Linked DNA regions of Tamandua tetradactyla. The protein of the gene in region 1 interacts with the protein of each later gene in a biochemical or structural test. Links are inferred from orthologs where the notes say so. Each region holds a gene or a part of one and is shown on either strand. Other genes may lie near its edges.

The links.
Region 2: the proteins of HSP90AA1 (region 1) and TERT form a complex in vitro, tested with the Homo sapiens proteins (2 studies listed by BioGRID). The link is inferred for Tamandua tetradactyla from reciprocal best matches to the Homo sapiens genes HSP90AA1 and TERT.

The regions. Positions count from the first base shown.
Region 1 is NC_135338.1:63,505,191-63,512,229, forward strand, and holds the start of HSP90AA1 (heat shock protein HSP 90-alpha), read right to left. Parts: upstream 3,104-7,039; 5' UTR 2,961-3,103; intron 2,331-2,960; coding exon 2,169-2,330; intron 2,095-2,168; coding exon 1,728-2,094; intron 1,482-1,727; coding exon 1,348-1,481; intron 1,043-1,347; coding exon 728-1,042; intron 515-727; coding exon 349-514; intron 246-348; coding exon 55-245; intron 1-54. UniProt on the Homo sapiens protein: Molecular chaperone that promotes the maturation, structural maintenance and proper regulation of specific target proteins involved for instance in cell cycle control and signal transduction.
Region 2 is NC_135335.1:49,469,547-49,476,819, forward strand, and holds the start of TERT (telomerase reverse transcriptase), read right to left. Parts: upstream 3,106-7,273; coding exon 2,887-3,105; intron 2,783-2,886; coding exon 1,447-2,782; intron 1-1,446. UniProt on the Homo sapiens protein: Telomerase is a ribonucleoprotein enzyme essential for the replication of chromosome termini in most eukaryotes. Active in progenitor and cancer cells. Inactive, or very low activity, in normal somatic cells.

The DNA of each region.
Region 1 (7,039 bases):
TAGAGGTTTTCTTAAAATACAAAAAAAAAAAGTATCAAACAGATTTACACTAACCTTAATGTTTTTAGAGAACTGCTCATAAAACTTCTTGTAGTTCTCTTTATCTTCTGCCAGTTCAGTGAAGAGCTCTAAGCACTTTTTGACCAAATTCTTTCTGATAACTTTCAAAATTTTACTTTGTTGCAACATTTCACGAGAAATATTTAGAGGAAGATCCTCAGAGTCCACCACACCTCTAATGAAATCTGAAAAAACATAGACCAAATGCCTTCAAGATATACCACCCAAAGACAAAAATTGTTTAGTATAGACACCCAAAGAAACATAAACTAACCCAGCCACACTTACTCAGATATTCAGGGATCAGCTCCTCACAGTTATCCATAATGAAAACCCTGCGAACATACAACTTAATGTTGTTCTTTTTCTTCCTGTTTTCAAACAGGTCAAAAGGAGCACGTCTTGGGACAAAGAGAAGGGCTCTGAATTCTAACTGTCCTTCAACTGAAAAATGCTGGGGGAAAAAAGAACAAAACACTAAACACCAAGAGACAGTGAAAGCAGCTTTTACTGAACACTTTAACTGACAGATAAGTACTTGCAGTCACACAACTTAAAGCACTAAGACATAAAAGAAAAAAGCCCACACCACCTACCCTCTGATTTAACCATTTGAGACCAATTACCTGGCTGAGGCATGATAGTTCTGGAAGCACTCAATGCTCACCTTCACTGCCAAGTGGTCTTCCCAGTCGTTGGTCAAGCTCTTATAGAATTCTCCATATTCTTCATTAGTAATATCGTCAGGATTTCTGGTCCAGATGGGTTTTGTTTTGTTAAGTTCTTCTTGATCAATATATTTTTCCTTGATCTTCTTTTTCTTTTTTTTGTCACCATCCTTCTTTTCTTCTTCTTCATCATCAGAACCAACATCCTCTATTTCTGGCTTATCATCAGACTCCTTTTCTTCTTTTTCTTCCTCTTTTTCTTCCTTTTCTTCAGCCTCATCATCACTTACTTCTTTATCACGTTCTTTCTCCACCTGGTTAAAAAAATTACGTGAAATACTCTGCTTCCTAAGACTAAAACAGGCTAAGAGTACTTATATCATAATCTAAGTCAACCACGCAGAGAAACCTGTAAGGAAACTTTACAGCAACAAATTATTTCAGCCTTACTTCTGTATACAGAATTAAGGTCAGAGGAACCCAGCTCCAAACAGGCTTCAGACCAGCATTAATAAACCCTTTAAATTTGGGTCTTCCTTAGTTAAGCCTAAAGACTTCAAGTTCAGCTAATTACATACAGGCGTCCACTACGCAGTTTGCAGTTTATGTACAAACTTACAAAAAGAGTAATTGGATAGCCAATAAACTGAGAATGTTTTTTCACTATCTCCTTTATTCTTCTTTCCTCCAAATACTCAGTTTGGTCTTCTTTCAGATGCAGAATAACCTTTGTTCCACGACCCATGGGTTCACCTTAAAGGAAAAGAATACAACTTTCAGATATAGTTAAGGTTAAAAAAAATACCCATTTGGCTCAAGGTCACCTAAGAGGTCCTTGCCAGCACTTTCTGAACCAGTCCCTAATAGGCAGGGTTTACCCCCTCTCATAAGGCTGAGCAGCAGCACGCTCGGCTCCTGCACCTGCTTACATCTCTATTGGCTCTCACTTTCTCAAGACTTTCAGCACCACCCCCCCCCACCCCACCCTTAGATGCTCACCTGTGTCGGTCCTAACAGTGAAGGAGCCTCCCGCCGATGACTCCCAGGCATACTGTTCATCGTCATTGTGCTTGGTGATAACCGTCACCTTCTCCGCCACTAGGTAGGCAGAATAGAAACCCACGCCGAATTGGCCAATCATGGAGATATCGGCACCAGCCTGCAGCGCCTCCATGAACGCCTTGGTGCCCGACTTGGCGATGGTGCCCAAATTGTTGATCAGGTCAGCCTTAGTCATCCCGATGCCGGTATCCACGATGGTGAGCGTCCGGTCTTGCTTGTTGGGGATAAGATTGATGTGCAGCTCCTTCCCGGAATCCAGCTTGCTGGGGTCGGTCAAGCTCTCATATCGGATTTTGTCCAGAGCCTATACGCAAGAATACACCCGTCAAGCCCACGGCCGGGTCCTCACCCACACCCGACCCTGGAACACAGACTTACGTCCGACGAGTTTGAGATAAGCTCCCTCAGAAAGATCTCTTTGTTAGAATAGAAAGTGTTGATGATCAAAGACATCAACTGGGCGATCTCGGCCTGGAAGGCGAACGTCTCCACCTCCTCCTCCTCCATGGGCTGGTCTTGGGTCTGGGTCTCTTCGGGCATCTGCGGAAGGCAGCGCGCGCTCAGGCCGCGGCGTGGCGCGTAGCCGCGCCTCGGGGTCCGGAGCACCCGTCCGGTATTTTTAGAAACCCGCCCCAGGGAAGAGAAAAATTTAAGGAAACCGAAAATAGCCAGCGGGCTGACAAAGGGATGACCTCATTTAGCGCGGCGATAATCGCAGGGGCGCGCACACCCCGCCAGGAGACGTCGCGGGTTCAGTGCGCCTCTATCGCGCCCCGCCAACGGGGGCGCCCCCTTTCCCCGCCACGCCGCCATAACGCCCCCCCCCACCCCCCCGCCGCCACCCGCGTCCGCGAGCTGGGACCGAAACCGGGAGCCGTCTGCCCGGAGAGTCCTCGGCGCTAAGGCGTTTCTGCCCGCGCATAGAACCCATCCCCCACCGCCTCGGCAGAATATCCCGGGAGACCAAGGGGCGTCCGGAACCCGTTTCTGGGGAGGCCGCGGCAGGCCCGAAGCCTCCGGAAGGGAGACGGGGGCCGCCCCCACACTCATAGGCCGAGAACCGCGGAAAGGTGCTGGGGGCTGAGTCTGGTGCCCCCGGCCGCGCCTCCCCGCTCATTCCCAGACACCAGCACCCTCCCGTGCCAGAAGAGACCCCCAAGTTCCCCTTACCTTGGCGATAGGAACACGCAGTTACCACACCGCAGCAACCCCTGGACGCTGAAGCAACTGGCGCGCCACCCCCGCGCCTCCCTTATATAGACGCGGGCCCGCCCAGCGCGCGGCGCCTTTTCCAGAAGCCTCCCGAACCTTCCGGAAGAACCCTCCCCAACTGCCGCCGCGACCGCGCGCCTGCGCCTGCGCCCTGGCCGCGTCCCGCCCCGAGCCGAGAATGGCCTAGGCGTCCCGCCCCGCCTCGCTGCGCGCTCTCGCGTCGCCTTCTGCGCCTGCGCGGCCCGGAATTCTCGGGAAGGTCTCTGCGCTTCCGGCGCCACCGACCCCCGCCCACCCTCTTTCCTCAGGCTGGTCCCGGTTGTGTGTATCCCTGCCACCCGTGCCCTGGCCCTGGGGTCTCGGTGGGCCCCTGGGTTGTGCCCCCAGCTCGGCGAGGGTACTGGGGGCCCGGAAAATAGTGCACGTGGCCGAGTTGCTGTGAAATTTGCAGTGATTTCTTGATTCTTAGGCAGTGTGCCCTCCCTGATGGCGTAAGCGTCTGCTCAACGCTTGGGCTGCGACTTAGGGGTCCAGGGTCGCGTGTAGAGGTCCAGAGCAGCAGTTAGAGGGTTGGTGTCGTGTTTAGGGTTCCGGGACACGGATTGGGGGGTTGGGGCAGCATTTAGGTGACCCAGGCAGTGATTAGGGGGTTGGGGTTATGTTTAGGGTTCTGGGACATGGATTGAGGGTTCTTCCGTGCCTGCCCTCTCCACTGTCAACTTTCGTTTTGCATGGGGGTGGGGGGCTGGGGCTCGTGACGCAGACTAGTGCGTTTGAGGCGTGTAGGGTCGGTCCGTGACGGGGTGCGGATGAAGGGTCACTAGTGAAAGGTTTAGGAGGCGAAAGGGTGAGAAGAAAGAAAGGTACACTAGGAAATTTAAAGTGGGGGGGGGTGGGTGGGTATTTCTGCGCTCCCAGGCAGAACTCACCAAACCCAAGATGGAGGGAGGTGAGTGCGCGTGTGGGCTTTGGCACAGGCAGCTTTTAAGGTTTGAGGTCAGGTCACTTCTGGAAGGGGAAGGTCATTAGTTCCAGAAGTCAGGCTGAGAGGGGTGACACAGCCTCTGCAGCTCCGATTGCAGTGCCCTTCACGGTTCCCCTGACCTAACATTCCAACCTTTTTGTGATAATAGGGTGCTGAGATCTTTCTGGCTACTTACTGCTGTAATGGGGCGGCGTGGGGTTATAGGCTGGAACCGTCATGGCCAGGGGAGCGGGGAGGCTGGCTGTAGGAATTTGGTGAGGAAGGCAGGTGATGATAATGATGCAGGAGCATTTGGTTGACTTCTACTGGGGATAGTTCCTTCATGCACCCCTGAAGGAAGTTGAGGAGGCAGGGAGCTAGGAGAAAAAAGAGACAGATTAGGATAACTGGTCCTAGTAGTGGGAGGAGTCATGTCACCAGAGGAGAAGAAATCCAGCTTAAGGCAGAGTTGGTTCCTTGTTTTCTGTGGTAGAGATCGTCTCTTAGTTTGTTTAGGGTTTGAATATTTTGTTTCACCAGACCTGACTCGTTGATGTAATAGCAGCATTCCTCTTGGAGGAATATACACGTTCCTCCTTTATCAGCTGTCAGCAGGTCTAAGGCCCGTCGATTTTGAAGAGTTACCTGGGCTAATGAGGTGAGTTGGCGTTGTAGAGAGGAGAGGGATTCTGATGTCAATTCCAGGGCTACCTGTAGTCGAGTTTCAAAGTTTTGAGAGGTTAAAATATCATGTCCCAGAGCCCCTCCTGCTGTGGCTGAGGCTGCAACTGAAGTGGTTAGGCTGATGCCTACTAGGATAGGAAGAAAGGCAGCCCTTTTTGAGCGAGGAGAGGGCAGTAACCAAGTTAGTTCGGACTCCCCATAGAGGGTTAATTGAGGAACAATAGTTACCAGGAAGCATGGTCCTGGGGCAGTGGAGTTAAGGCATGTGGTAAGAGTTCCATTACACCAGAAATATTGTCCTTTGGGGGCATGGGTGGTGTTGTGGATAGTGGTGTTAGTCCGGCACTTGCTATGAAGTTCTTTTTGAGGGTTTTTTATCCAATGTAGTGAGGCTCTTAATTTGGCAAGAAGATCTCGCCTCATTAATGGGCTGGGGCAAGAAGGCATTACTAAGAAAGAGTGTGTAATGGGGTACCCTTCTATTAAATACGTTAGCAGTCCAGTAGTTAAGGGGCACAAAGGACGGCCGTCTATGCCCATAACGGTGACCTGGGAAGGAAGGAGTTGACCTGAGTAAGAGGGAAGGTAGCCCTTGTGTCCACTAAAAAGGAGGTGGACTTACCTGCTACGTTGATTGTTACCCTGGGCTCAATGAGGGTGATTGGGGTCACTGAGGCCGGGTGTTGTCAGTCATTGGTGGCCAGGCCCAGGACTGCTAGCTGTGGGTTAGGGGTTGGAAGGACAGCCCCTTCACGGCCAGGCACCGAGGAGCAGTCACTTTTCCAGTGTCCCTTTTTACCACGGAGAGGGCATGGTCCCTTGGGCAGTCGAGGATTGGGGCACTGGCGGAACCACTGTCCATCGAGGCCACATTTGAAGCACTTTCCTTGTGGTGGATTAGTCGTAGCTGGCTTCTTCTCCGTTGAAGTGGGCCGCAGAGCCGCAGTCAGGGATTGGGTTTGTAAATTCGCCTTTGGGCGGTCCCGGGATTCCTTTTCTGCCCTCTCCAATTCATCACGAGTATTAAAAATTTTAAAGGCCGTGTTTACCAGGTCACGGATAGGGGCCTGAGGGCCTTCCTCAATTTTTCTAAGTTTACGCCTTATATCTTGAGCCGATTGGGATATAAAGTGTGTGACTAAAACAGTTTTACCAGCCTCCAAGTCGGGGTCTAGGCGGGTATATTGGGAGAGGGCTTCTGTGAGCTGGTGTAGAAAAGCGGCCGGGTTTTCATCAGGACCCTGGGTAATTTCCCTTAGCTTATGGAAGTTTACTACTTTATGTGAAGCTTTCTGCTTGCTGGCTATGAGGCATGTAAGCATTTTGTCCCGTCTAGTCTGCCCGTTCCTCCCCGCTGGAGTGTCATCCTGATATTCCCACCCTGGCTCCTGGTCTGGCACGGCCTAGGCCCCTACCGGCATGGTGTGGTAGGTTATATGCACCTGGTTAGCGTGGGCCCTGGCTGCATTGAAAATGCAGTCCATTTCATCTGTAGTGAGGGAAGAAGAGCAGATTATATGAATGTCATGCCAAGTGAGGTCATAAGCATTAGCTAGATACTGGAACTGTTTAGTATAGGTAGTTGGATCGTTGGAGAAGGAACCCAACCATTTTTCAATGTGTGAAAGATTGGCCAGAGAGAAGGGAGTGTGTACCTGAATTAATCCTTCAGGTCCTGCAACCTCCTGGAGGGGACAGAGTAAAGTACTTTTTGAGCGGGTATGGGAGCTTACAGGTGAGGGTAGCGAGGAACTAGCTGGTGGCAGAAGAGCCGAAGCAGGGGGTGGGGGTCATGCCGGTAATGGGAGAGCCTTTGGAGTAGAAGGAGGAAGGGAAGGATAGGATGGTGGCTGGAATGTTGCTGGAGCAGGGGTAGGAAGAGGGGGGTAAGATGGTGGCTGGAGCGCCACCAGTGGAGGAGGAAGACGAAGGCAAGATGGCAGCGGGAGTGCCGCCGGTGCGGAAGGGGAGAGTGGAGGGAAAGATAGCGGCTGGGACGTCACTGGAACAGAAGGAGGAAGAGAAGGAGAAGATGGCAACTGAGATGTCACTGAAGCAGAAGGGGGGAGGGAAAGGCAAGATGGCGACTGGAGCGCTGCTGGAGGGAGGGGAGGGTAGAGCGAGGGAGAGGAGGTTAGTTTCGCAAGATGCAGTGGTGGCCCTGGTCTTTTAAAGGAAGATGAATCGAGGGGGTCAGAAAAGGAGGAAGTTTCTTCTGAGAGAAGTGGGGATTTGGGAGTTTCCTTGGCTAGGAGAACATGAGCTATAGAGCAGGAGGTACAAAGGGAGGGGCGGGAGCGCAGAAGGAAAAAAGCCTGGACATAAGGAATTTCGGCCCATTTGTCATTCCTCTGGCAAAAGTTGCGGAGGTTCGTAAGGATATTAAAAT
Region 2 (7,273 bases), on another chromosome or scaffold:
TGGGGAAATGGAAACAAGTTAGAGCCTGCGGATAAATGACAGATTAGACTGAAAGTGCCCTCGGCCCCGGCCCCGTGCTGTCACAGGACACGCGCTGAGAAGGTCCGAGGCCACGAGAGGGTAAAACAGAAGGGTGAGAAGGCGCAATGGACGGCCATTGCCACAGGGAAACCGCGCGGCCCCCGAAGGGCCGTGAGAGCCGCCACGACCGGGGAGCAATCGCCAGGAAGACGGACCCTCCAGTACGCTGCCAAGTCCTCGTCACGGTCCCCGCAGCGTGCCCAGCGCAGACCCCGCGGGAGGGTGTGGGCCGCGTGCCAGCTGCGTAGGGGCAGCAGCTCCGGGCAGCACGGGGGGAGCCTGGGGGGCCCCAACGCCCACCGGGCTTCGCGCAGAGCACACCCCCCCGGCAGGAGAAAAGTCCCAAGAGACATCACACAGTCTCGTGCAGCCCCCTCCCCCTGACCAGCACACCGTGGGGAGAAGCCACCCACAACAGCCCGCGACATCCCACACACGTGGGAAATAAAACACAAACGTCTTAACTAACGCGCTGACCTGATCTCAGAAGAGACGAGAACACACTCGAATGGCCGCTACCGTGAGCGGCGCACATGGAGCCTGGGTGCGGCTAAAGCAGGGCCTGGAGGGACAGTCAGGGCCGAGCCACCAACCGGAGGGAGACCGGGCGCCCCGCACACCCGAGGCGGGGTGAAGGACAGGCTGCTCACCAGACGGCGCGGCAGAGGCGGGCGGCCCGTGCCTCTTGACACTAGTGTGTGGGCGACGGGGGCAGAAGGGACTCCATGTCAAGTCCTGGAGCACGGCATGAACCAAGGGGCCCCCCAGGACCTCGGGGCTGCCTGGCTGCCCTGCAGCAAGAGGCTACCCACTGCTCTCCCCACCCATCGGTCTGGCTCCCACGGCTCCTGCACCCCTCCCGCACCCTGCCCTCCCCGCCCAGCTCAGCCCTAAGTGCGGATCTGCCCGCTGCCCCCCGCCCACCACCCACAAAGGCTCAGTTCCCATCCCCTTCTCTTCCCTCCCCCCACGTGGAGCATGGGGCCCGGTTTTACAGGGATAAACTTTAAAGTCAAGGAGGGGACAGCAGTGAGCTGCCCGCACCCTCATGAGAGCTTCTGGACACTTCTGACCTGTTGCTGGAAACCTGCTTCCACTGGCCCTCTGCATCCTGTTTGCTCACTGCTCCGGCCTGAGCCCACAAATGGGTGGACAGTGCTGGGCAGGTAAGGGCGTGGATCAGAGGGCAGAGATGGCCTACATGTGGCCTGAACAGGAAGCAACTTGCACCCCAAGTGAGGGAAGGGGTCCGAGGACCCAGGCGGACCTCTGCCCACCAGTGTGCGCCTTCTCGAGCCTCCCGTGCTCACAGCTGCATGCCACCGCTGGACAGCCACCTGCCCCGTCCTGGGCCCACCTGCTCACCTGGACGCCGGCGCAGCCAGGTGCAGTCCTCCACCCTCATCTTCCACATCAGTTCCCTCAGCGGCAGCCGGGCGTGCTTCCCCAGCGAGAGGAACTTCTTCACGTTCCTCAGGAAGCGACACTTATTGTGTCTGGAGCCCCAGAGGCGGGTGGGCACCAGCCGCTGGAGACACGCGCGCAGGAACATGTACACCTGCCACGGGCTGCTGTGCCGACGGAGCAGCTGCACCAGACGCCGCGGCTCCGCGTCCTCCTCGCCGGCTGCCTCCGCTGCCAGCCTGGGGGGCCTCTCCTGGGGCCCGCCCCCTGCCCCGCCCGACAGCAGGCCCCCAGCCTCGGCGCGCCCAGGGGACCCCCGCACGGACGTTGAGGCCCGGCGTGGGCAGTGCGTGCTGAGCAGCGCGCCATATGGGCACCGCGCGTGGTTCTCCAGCAGCTCCCGGAACAGGGGCCGCATTCTCCAGTAGCGCTGGGGCAGGCGCCGCGTCCTCCGGGAGGCCCCGCGGGCGGGCGGCGTCGAGGGCAGGAAGATGGCCTCCACGAGGCGGCCGGCGCCTGCCAGGCTTCCCTGCAAGCCGCTGAGCAGGAAGGAGCGCGGCAGCCGCTCGCTGGCCCGGGCGGAGTACAGGAGGAGCTTGGTCTCGATGTAAGTGTCCCAGGGACCCGACGGCGGTGGCCGTGTGGACGAGGACCGGGTGGCGCGATCGCTGCCCGCCCGCGTGGAAGGGCCACATGTCCCCAACGGCTCGCTCTCCCAAGTGGTGGCAAACGTGGCGGCTCCGGGGATGGCTGTCCCAGTCGGGGTATCGCTGTCCCTCTGCATCTGTACCCGGCCTGGGTCAGCCAGGGCAGCCGGCTCATCGGGCTCCCCAACCGGGTCACGCCTGGGTCTCTTGGCCGAAGACGACCCGCTCGCGCTGCCTCGACGTCGCCTCCGGCTGGGGGCTGCCGCTGTGCCGACCCTCTGCGCTACCTCCCCGGCGCTGGCAGATCGCCGAGCCGAACGGACAGGGGACCAGCCGAGCTCGTAGAGCGGCGCCCCGCACACCTGGTAGGCGCAGCTGGGGGCCACCAGCAGGTAGAGTGCGCAGCGCGTCAGCAGGTGGGCCAGCACGTCGTCCCCAAGGCGGTGCAGCAGCAACCCCCACGCGCCGCTGCCGCGCAGCGTCTCGGTGGCCGTGTTGGGCAGGTAGCTGCGCACGCTCGTCGTGAAGGCCACCGGCGGCCCGTCGCGCGCCTCGTCCAGCAGTGCGAAGCCGAAGGCCAGCACGTTCCTGGTGCCGCGCTCGCACAGGCCCTGCACGACCCTGGCCACCAGCTCCTTCAGGTAGGACACCTGCGGACGCGACGGGGGTTGAGGGGCGTGAGTCGGCGCCCCGGAATGCACGTGCCCCGCGGCACGCCGGCGGGGTGGGGCGAAAAGGGCCCGGCGGGTCCCACCTGTTGGAAGGAGGGGGCAGCGGGGAGCGGCCGCGCGCCCCAGGGCACGCACACCAGGCACTGGGCCACCAGCGCACGGAAGGACGCAGGATCCCCGCGCCGCACCAGCCGCCGGCCCTCGGCCCCCAGGCGCCGGGCGAACTTGGCCAGCGGCAGCACCTCACGGTAGCGCCCGCGCAGCAGCGCGCGCACGGCCCGACAGCGGGGGGCGCGCGGCATCGCGGCGGGGAAGGGCCGGGGCGCGCGAGCCGAGCTCCCACGTGCTGGGGATCCAGGCTCCCGCCGGCGCTGCGAGGAGGGGAGGGGCCGCAGCAGGAAGGGGCGTGGTGGGGCGGGGCCCGGAGAGGAAGGGGCGTGGTGGGGCGGAGCCCTGGGCGGGGCGGGGGCGGGACCTGCGCGCACCTGTTCCCCGCCGGGGATCTGGGCGGGCACTCGAGGGCCGCATCAGGGCTGAGCGCAGGCGGAGTCTGGACGCACCCGGCTGCTGCAGGGCGACCCCTCTCAGGGCGTCTCCGGGCTCAGAGGCGCGGCGGGCGCGGGGCGCAGAGTGCGGCCTCTCTGCCAAGAGGATCCGGACTTAGCCGGGGCGGCGGACCTTCGGATGGGGTCCACAGGGAGCTGGGGGTCTCTGCGCCCCTGAGGAGAGGGCGTTCTGCTACTCCCTTCCTCGGAGGCCCTCGGCCCCCGCGCGGCTGGTGCCACGGAAAGGGACGATGGCAGCCAGCCCTCCCTACAGCACGTTCCCGACCGGGTCGGAATCGCAGCCCCACCACGCGCCAGGGTCCCCTTTTCGGGGTCCCCTTTTCAGGCTCCTGCCGTGGTGGGGACAGTAAACAGCAAACCAAAGCCGTTCCTGGTGTAATCTGCCCCACCCCCACCCCCCGGCCAAGGGGGCAGCTCTCCCCTCAGAACCCACTTCACGGGCAGGGGCCCACTGGGCCGCGAGGGAGGTGTGATCCCACAGCCCGGCCCCCCTTTACCAGTTACCCCTCCACCGCTTGAGGGTGCACAGGCTGAGGTCACGGGGCGGGGGCACAGACGGGGCGGCCTCAGTTCACCTCCTTCACGACACTCCACGGGACTCGACTTTAAACCCACACTTGGGGCGGTCAAGTTTGAGTCACCAAGTGGAGACACTGGGGGTCTCTGGAGTGGAGCTGGGAGTTTCGTAAACGCTGAAACGCTGAGCAAACGTGACCTTTCCAACCTGAGCAGCTGGCGAGGCCGTCGCTGCGCATTTACCCTGTCCGGGCTGCGGTAAATGCGCAGAGCTGTCTGGAGCCGTTTCCGCCGTGCGCTGCGCCAGCTCCTGCCTCGGCAAGGCGGTGTTGGACAACCGCTTAACTGTGCGGCGAAGGATTCGCGCTGCTTTGGAGAACGTGCGCTTTCCCAACAGAGAAGTGGCTGCCCCAACACAGAACCTTCAACAGGCGCCACGAACGGGGCGTCAGAAGGCGCAGCTCATCCTTAAAGGGAGCGGGAGAAACTGAGGCAGGGCAGAGCGCCGGCCAGGCCCACGCCACCATCCCAGTGACAGAACAGCTCATCCCCTGGCTTGGGCCAGGGCTCTGACGTGCCTTTGTCGGGACGTGACTCAGTCTACCCCAGTTGGCTGGAACACAGGCCAGCCACAGAAAAGCGCTCTAGCCCTTCCACGGCAGGGACGGGCGGCAGTGCTGAACGCTGCGCCCCAGCCAGAGACAGCGGCGTGCACGCAGGAAGGCCCTGTTTTCAATCCCAGGAGGGGGGCGCCAAGGTGGCCGCCTCCAGGGCGGTGTCCACGTGCTGACCACACCGGGAGGTGAAGGGAAACCCAGCAACCCGCGCAGGGCGGGCAGTGAGTCGCTTCAGCCCTGAGTAAGGAGAGAAATAAGTGGCCCCCACGCCACAGGCCTGCGTGTACAACCCACCCCTGGGAGATCCTGAGGGAAAGGGGCAGGCTCGGGGTTCCACAGCGCTGCGGGGGTCTCCCGTGGGTTTGGGGGGCTGAAGGCGCAGGTCTTGGGGTGGGGTGCCGTGGGCGGGGCTGGTCACGCCGTCCTGGCGTGCTGGGTGCGCGCTGCGGAAAGGGGGAGGACTGGCCGCGTCTCAGCCGTCTGCGGCTCCAAAATGGGTGCCGTGGGACTTAATGGGAGTAAGCTCCCATTCTAAGGGAAAGTACATGCAAGGATGTGGGGTCCACGGCACACCCCACTGTATACAGGGTGCCCATGCTGGACGCCGGACACAGCACCCCCACCCCCACCCCGGGGGCTCACTCCCAGCGCTCTGTTCTCTCACTTGTGGCTTTGAAATCCTTATGACCCCCAGGGAATTGGCACCTGTAGGTGCTGTAACAGTGACCTGGCACACAGCAGCTGGGGGCCAGAGGTCCAGCGACCTCGCTCGCCAGGTGCAGGTGCACAATTGTCCTGGAGGCTTGGGAAGACCCGCCCCTAGCCTTTTCCGGCCTCGGGGGGCTCATGGCTCCTTCCTGCACTCTCAAGCCGATGCCCTCTCTGACCCCGAGTCCTGCTTCCTGGCTCTGCTGTCCACTGCAGTGACCCTGCACCCAGGAGACTCTCCCTACTCCAGGTCGTTTCGCCCCAGAAGGCAGCACGCTCCCAGGTTCCCAGACACTTTCCGAGGGCCCCGGTGTCCTGCACCGAGACAAACACCACGCCCTGGGCTGGTTAAGCACGGGCACTCTGCGGCTCAGGGTTCCGAGGCTGGAAGGCTCCGTCCCATGTGTTCGGGGGTTTCTGGCAGTGCTGGGCCCTGGTGCCACCCCCGCCTTTTGCCTCGGCTCTGTGACCTCCAGCTTCTCTTCGTGGCCTTCTATCCCGGGGGCAGGATGCAGCCTGGCTCGGGTGGCCACACATTGACCGAGGCTGACAGCTTCAAGGGGCCTGTTTACAGTGTTTCTTCTGGGTCCTCAGTCTGCCTGGGGGCTGCCCTCAGCCCCAGCTGTGACGTCTCTGTGGCTGTGACACTGCCTGGGCATCCGCCTGCGTCTGTTCAGTTTGCGTGGCCTCCGGCTTGATCGAGGCTGGGAGCTGAGCCCCAATACCGAGCAGGCCCCCATGTGCCTCCCGCCCCTCGCCGCATCCCCTGGTGACCCCGGCCCTTCTCCAGCTCTAATTTTGTCGATTGGAGAGCGCGACAGGAATGGAATCACACATGGCCTTTGGGGCGGGCTTTCTGCCCTCGCCACGCGTCCGGACACTAGCCTGGCGCTGCTCAGAATCCGTGGCTTTGGCTGTGGGGCCGTGTTGTGTGCCGTGGGGGTGCCACGGCGTGTCCACACGCTCCCCGGCGAGGGCGAGTGGCCTGTCCCGCAGGTGCAACGACAGTGCAGTGGCCGCGCCCGGTCACGCTTCCCACCGCCCAGGGCGAGCGCGCAGGGGCTGCGGTAGGGGAGGTGCTTGCCCAGTTTGGTGCCCCGCATCCCGCTGCCCGCAGCCGTCCCCGGTGGACAGCCACGGCCCACCCTGGTCCGACGACCTGTCCCCGCTTCCCGGCTGCTGGGGTGCGGCAGGCAGCGTATCGAGGCCGCAGTGTCTCGAGGCCGCAGGCTGCCTTCCCCCGGGCCTGTGTCCCCTGGCCACCGGCAGTCCTTGGGCCTCTTGGCTTTTCCCTCCCATGGCCGTGCAGGGGGTGGTGTCTTCCCTGTCCATCTGGGTCCCGTGGACGTCTGTCCAGCTTCTGCACTGGGCCCCTTAGGAATGGGGTGCCGGCAAGAGCGAGTTTTCCTGCGGTGCGAGCTCCACGCCACCGCGGGGCCTGCACAGTGTAGACAGCTGCCCACCAAGACCGCCCCTGCGGGCCTGGAACCAGGCAGTGGCCACCCGCTGGCACCAAGGCCAGCCCCGTGGCCGTGGCCCACCCAGCCCTGGGCTCTGGTCACCTGGAGCAGCAGAGCCCGAGCTCCTGCGTCCCGCCTCGGCGCTGAGGGCCACCCCCCGTGTTAGGTCCTGGGTGCCATGATCTGGGTGCCGCCCCCCATGTTAGGTCCTGGGTGCCATGACCTGGGTGCCGCCCCCCGTGTTAGGTCCTGGGTGGGAGGGGCCAGGCAGGGCCGGTCCAGGCACTGGACGGGCTCCTGTGGACGGGGCCCGGGTGGCCGACGGCGCCCGTCTCACCACATCCGCTGGGCTCAGGGGCCCTCCCGGCTCGTGGAGGCCCACAGTGGGCTTCAGTCACTGGGGGGTGAGGGGAGTGTGGGGGCGGGGCCTGGCTGGGGCCATGTTAGGGAAGTGTGGCTGCTGGAGGCCTCTGCATGGAGGGGCTCCCCTCACAGGCCCCGGAGTGGCCGAGGCATCTCCCAGCTCTGGGCATGGGACCCCGTGCTGCAGCAGGGGACCCCTACGCAGCCTGGGATTGGTTGTGCTCTGCAGCCTGGGTTGAG